2 linked regions of the Tribolium castaneum genome follow. The protein of the gene in region 2 purifies or fractionates together with the protein of the main gene of each other region. This does not show direct contact. Links are inferred from orthologs where the notes say so. Each region holds a gene or a part of one and is shown on either strand. Other genes may lie near its edges.

The links.
Region 1: the proteins of Sec20 (region 2) and Use1 purify together in Homo sapiens (co-immunoprecipitation; 4 studies listed by BioGRID and IntAct, counting the BioPlex papers as one, with this or other methods). This does not show direct contact. The link is inferred for Tribolium castaneum from reciprocal best matches to the Homo sapiens genes BNIP1 and USE1.

What each region holds. Positions count from the first base shown.
Region 1 is NC_087396.1:21,173,920-21,176,859, forward strand, and holds Use1 (vesicle transport protein USE1), read right to left. Parts: upstream 1,490-2,940; coding exon 1,341-1,489; intron 1,293-1,340; coding exon 1,168-1,292; intron 1,122-1,167; coding exon 819-1,121; intron 806-818; exon of another isoform or gene 771-805; coding exon 733-770; 3' UTR 732-732; downstream 1-731. Other genes in the region: Grip75 (gamma-tubulin complex component 4), read left to right, coding at 1-25, 78-285, 339-407, 459-731; focadhesin, read left to right, coding at 1,876-2,129, 2,178-2,366, 2,412-2,568, 2,617-2,940.
Region 2 is NC_087395.1:17,502,813-17,505,232, forward strand, and holds Sec20 (vesicle transport protein SEC20), read right to left. Parts: upstream 1,411-2,420; 5' UTR 1,310-1,410; coding exon 1,229-1,309; intron 1,175-1,228; coding exon 1,002-1,174; intron 953-1,001; coding exon 532-952; 3' UTR 506-531; downstream 1-505. UniProt on the Homo sapiens protein: As part of a SNARE complex may be involved in endoplasmic reticulum membranes fusion and be required for the maintenance of endoplasmic reticulum organization. Also plays a role in apoptosis.

The sequences.
Region 1 (2,940 bases), on a different chromosome or scaffold from region 2:
CGCACATGTCCGGGAAACAAAACATGTGTGTATTAATTAAATAATCAATCGGTTATTGTTAATTTTTGCAAATTTAGTGACCGGCGAGTGTGGACTTTACGCCAGCATTTAATTTTCCTAGTCAATAATCTACAATATTACCTCCAAGTGGACGTGATCGAGGCGCAATTTTCGCTACTTTTGAAAGCGATCGAAAACGCCAACGAATTCGAGGAGATCATCAAAGTCCATCACGAGTTCATCAGCAATTTACTCGCGAAAACTTTCATCCTGACCCCTGATAAAGTAAGTCAAGTCGGTTTTGAAATTACTTTGGTTAGACTGAATTAATTTTGCAGAGCCACACTTATCAAAACAAACACCGGTTACACCAAACTCCCGCCGTTCAGTTTAACGTCCCGAGTGAAGTAATAATTGTTGATTAAGTGTTTAATTGAACAATTAATGGTTTGTTAAAGGTTTACAACGTGATAATCCAGCTGCTGGAGCTGTGTGACAATTTCTGCGTCATTGCGTCGACATGGCAACCGCAGTTAACCGAACCGGAAGTAACCGAGTTTGAACAGTTCCAGAAACGCACCGATACCATCGTCGATTCGCTTTTGTTTATTCTGTACAAGTTACATGAACGAGCCGATGGCCAACACTTGGTCCAGTTGTTGCACCAGCTCGACTTTAATCGCTTTTTCACTCGAAACAAACCCGAGTTTAACCTAACGCAAAGAACGTAATTTATTTTTTCTTCATCACTTTCATAAATAACACCATATCTGGAATAAATTAATTAGGAGGCAAAGTTATTTCATTCGGCGACTTACTAATAAAAACAACCACAACCACAAGTAACATGATCCACATCCAGCATTTCCAGGCCCGTTTCGAGTGCTCGGCCAATTTGTTCGATTCCGCGCTCAGTTTGGAATAGTTTTGGTCGGTTAGTTGCGCCGATCGCGACACAACTTCGGTGTCTTTTTTGATAATTTTATTGGCTAGTTCCGACTGTTCTTTCAAGTTTTTGGTCAAGATGAGCATATCGTCGGTGATTTTCTGTTGCATGTTTTCGTGGAAATTCAAAACTTGGTCTAAGTCGCTCGTTTCGGGGCCTTTGCGGTGCCTCACGCCTGCAAGCTTTACTAGTACCATGAACTGTTACAAGGGGCCACAGACCTAGGAGGCTCTCCCGGAGCAATTCGGTGTCGTTTTCAGGGGGGTATTTACTTGTAGTGATCCCCAAGTCGGCCTTAATGGCTGCGATACGGCGCTGGTACGTCAGCAGGAACTCATAGTTGGGACTTAAACGCCTGGTTTAGTGAAAATTCGGGGGTTTTGGGACAACTCACTCTGACATTTTTTTCACTTCTTGGTACATGTCTTCAAGACTTTCGACGTATTTAGGCATGCGGTCGTCGTCTTTTTGCTTGCTCTTGCACATGAGCTCGCACTTGGCCAGGAGGCGCCGCAAGTTCACCTCCTGACGCGACAGCCCCATTTTGGCCAACAAACAAACCCGCTCGTGCTAAGTTTTACGAAAAGGACCACGAACTTTCGCTTAATCACCTCATTTCAATAATACCGACGTGTTCAATCGAACTTTGACAGATAAAAGTGAGGTTACGTAAGGGGAACTGTGCCCCAAATTATGCAAATTGGGCGGTTTTGTGTCGTGGTTTTTGCACTATTTTAGGCCATGGACCTACACTACCAAAACGAAGCCACAAAAATTGATAATTAACGATTAAAAAATTGAAATGTCAATTGTCAAAAACCAAACCTCAAATTTCCCACAAAATTATTTAAGGAATTTTGACTTAAAAACACGTGTGTGGGCCAAAACGGGCCAAAAATCGAGTAATTGTGCCTGATTACTGTTCAATCATGGACGAATTGAGCACCCGATTGGATTCGGAAAACCCAACTGTGGCCACTCAAATCGTCTCAAAACTGGCCCAAATTGTGAAAAAGCGCCAAAGTGGTGATATTTTCGAAGTGCCCGAGTTCAGACTCTTGCGGGAAAAGTGTATGAGTGGCAGTGTTTTAGCAGCCGAGGCCATTTTACAAATTGTGAAAAGTGACCCCAAAGTGGCCAAATCGGTGATTACTGACTTTGTCACACTTATAACAACGGCAAAGTATGGGGGTTGTGTCACTGGGGCGTTGTCATGGCTGGTTTATTTCAGGTTCGCCCCAAACGTGGCATTTTTAATTAATAATTTGCTAATCACTGATTTGGAAGAAAGTGGGTACAAATCGTCGTATAACTTGCAAGTGCCCCAACACCCCTTTATTGTAATGCTGAGAGAGGCGCCAAATTCGTGGAGCGCGATTTTTCGGGAGATTAATTTTTGTTACAGAACGGCAAACCCGAAGTATTAATTACGTTTCAACGATCAGTTAGTTATTATTTTTTGCAGAACGATTTGTCATTACAATGAGTTACACAAACCGGTTTTTTTGTACGTTTTGTGTGACCCTAACGGGGAAAGTTTCCCGACTTTCAAACAAAAACTATGGAGTTTTATCATCGATAATAACGAGGAGCTAATTAATTGCTTATTGTCCTGGATGCAAGTAAGTAATTATTTAAAACAAGTGATGCAATTAACTGAATTATTCAAGTTTGAAAACAGGGACACAATCGAGATTAACTCCGAATTCTTGGCGGAATTATCCGATAATTTCGACCAAGACTTGCTACTTTTGTGGCAAGTTTCCTCCCTCTTCCAATTGATTAAAAGTAATTACGACCCGCGAGAAATCATCTACGACATTAATGAAACACTGGACCAGGTCACAAACTTAATTATTTTAAACCCAATTTTGTTAATTCTGTCCAAATCAATTGACTTATGTTCAGGGGCTTTCCTGTTGCCACTACTGAACTTAACCAAGATAATTGTTCACAAATCAGAGTGTGATTTAATTACGTCAAACGTACTTAAA
Region 2 (2,420 bases):
CTTTAAGAATAATTAATGAAGACCAAAACCGTTGTATTAAAAGATCAGTTGAATGTAAAGAACAGCGTATTATAGAACAAGCAAGAAATCATAATAGAAAAATCTGTACTTTCATAAATTATAAAGAAGCTTATGATTATATTCCCCATTCTTGTTTAACCGAAAATACATAAAAATATATAAAATACGTCGGTTTTAAACAATCATATCAATTGAGTTTTGTTAAGAGATTTAAATACCATGCGATCAATTGAATTTATAATTAAAGTAGGTGATTTTTTGTCTTTGTGATTAAAAGCTAGTACGAACTGAGGGAAAAATCAGTTCTTTTAAAAACCCAATATTATTATTATTATAAATGTCTCAATAATAACGAAACGTATTTTAATAATAATGTGGTTACAACAATACAATAAATAATTTATTTAGCGTAATCTGGGGGCTTCCCAGATGCCTTGGACCAAGGTCCTTCAGTCTATAAAAACAATACTCGTAAAATAACTCATTATAACGAAAGTAGTTGAAGTTTATTTAAAATAATCGTTTTTGCACGATATAAAAAACACACGCCACAAAGAAGACAAACGCAAAGAACATGAGGATTTTATCGGTGAATTCCCTTCGCCCATACTTCGCCAGCAATTTCCCCGACTGGCTAATTGTACTTGAGGTTATTTTGAGTTCTTCCTGTGACCCGATTACACTATCGGAGGAAGTAACTAGCGCGTCCAGCGTATCCGCACTCCTTTTCGTCGTATCAGCTAATTGCCGACTGATTGATAACAACTGTTCGGTTACATTTGAGCTCATTTTGACCAAATTTTCCTTATCGCGTTTTTGCCTTTGACGCAGCGCCGTTTCCTCAGTTTTCGGTTTCAACAACTCCTCCTGAGCCCCCTTTTCTATGGCCAACATCGCACTAATATTGGCCTTTTTGAACGCCTCCATTGTGCTACAAAATTAATCTCTTCACACAAATGCGACACAATACACCAAATCACCTCGCTAATTGTTCACGATACGAAACTACGTCTTTCAAAAACGTGGGGTTTTTGCGCTCTTTGGCTATATCCCCGAATTTGTCGATGAATTTCCGCAAGGCGGAAATTTTTGAACGTCCCGCGCTATTCAAACCTTGCAATTCAGCCAATGGGCCGACGCATGCGTTGATGTCCTACCACAACACGGACGTGTCAAAAATCAGGGTTTATTTGTGGGTAATACGCACCTGAATTATCGCTCTAATTTGTAAATTGTGCTCAGTTATGTCTTTTCTCAACGTTTCTAGCACGTAATCGGATGAATCCATCGTTTTAAGCTCGTTAGCACCCGACTAAGCTAATGGAATGTAAATCTAGTAACCTACTCATGAGCAGGGTTTTCCGTTTTTGAACCAAGCAATGGCGCCAATTCAAAATTTAAACGTTAGTTTAAAGTATTAGCTCTTTGAAAAGTATGTAAACGCCAACGTCACATTTTTCTCAAAATTAGTTGTTATAAATTATTTATACACTTCAAAAAATTGATAGATAATGTAATTTATATTTTCAATGAGATCTAACCATTAATACGTATCTTACATTTATTTTTACCTTATTTAAAAAAATAATTTGGTAAAGAGCGTGGTTAGCGATTATTTTTTGTTGGTTTTGAATTTTGAGTAAAGACTGAAAATTTAAAAAATAAAATATCACTTTTAACACAAAACAAAAAAAACAATATTTTGTTTCTTTAAGCCTTTCCCTCCTTTTAAATTTTAAAGTAGGGGTGGCTAGCGATCAGGGGATGAAACCTAAAATGTAACTAATATTGGTTTTGAATTTCCCTTCGAGATCCTAATCGATCGGTTTTTGCTTGAAAATATCTTTATTCAATATCAACAGTTATTGAAATACAGTGGAACCTCCCTTAATGGACACCTCCGAAAAACGGACACCTCTTCACAACAGACATTTTTGTAAGAAGTTAACAATATATTAAAATTTCCACCTCTCCACAATAGACAATTAAAGGTTCCCCATCAGTGTCCGTTGTTGAGAAGTTTTACTGTACTCGTAAAATAGTACTTAAATCAATAATGGACAAATTTAGAGACTCATATGAGCCTAAAATTAGGGCTTTTCGAACTTAAACCCAAGAAGTTGTGGAATGATATTTGAGTTCCTAAATTGAGTCTTTCTCGCTCGCTAAGGCAACTTTTGCGGATCATTTAGGTGAATACAAAAAAAGTGTTTCGAGGGATAGCTGTACAACTTCAAGGATTTCCAGGACTGTAAAAGGATGTATAAGGAATGTATGGTGTACAAGATTTAGATCAGATGTTTACCCCTCGCAAATGGTAAAAAAACAAAAATTAAAAACAAATTGTAACGATTGGTCATTTACTACTAGACCACCATTTATTTCCTTAAATGAGGCAA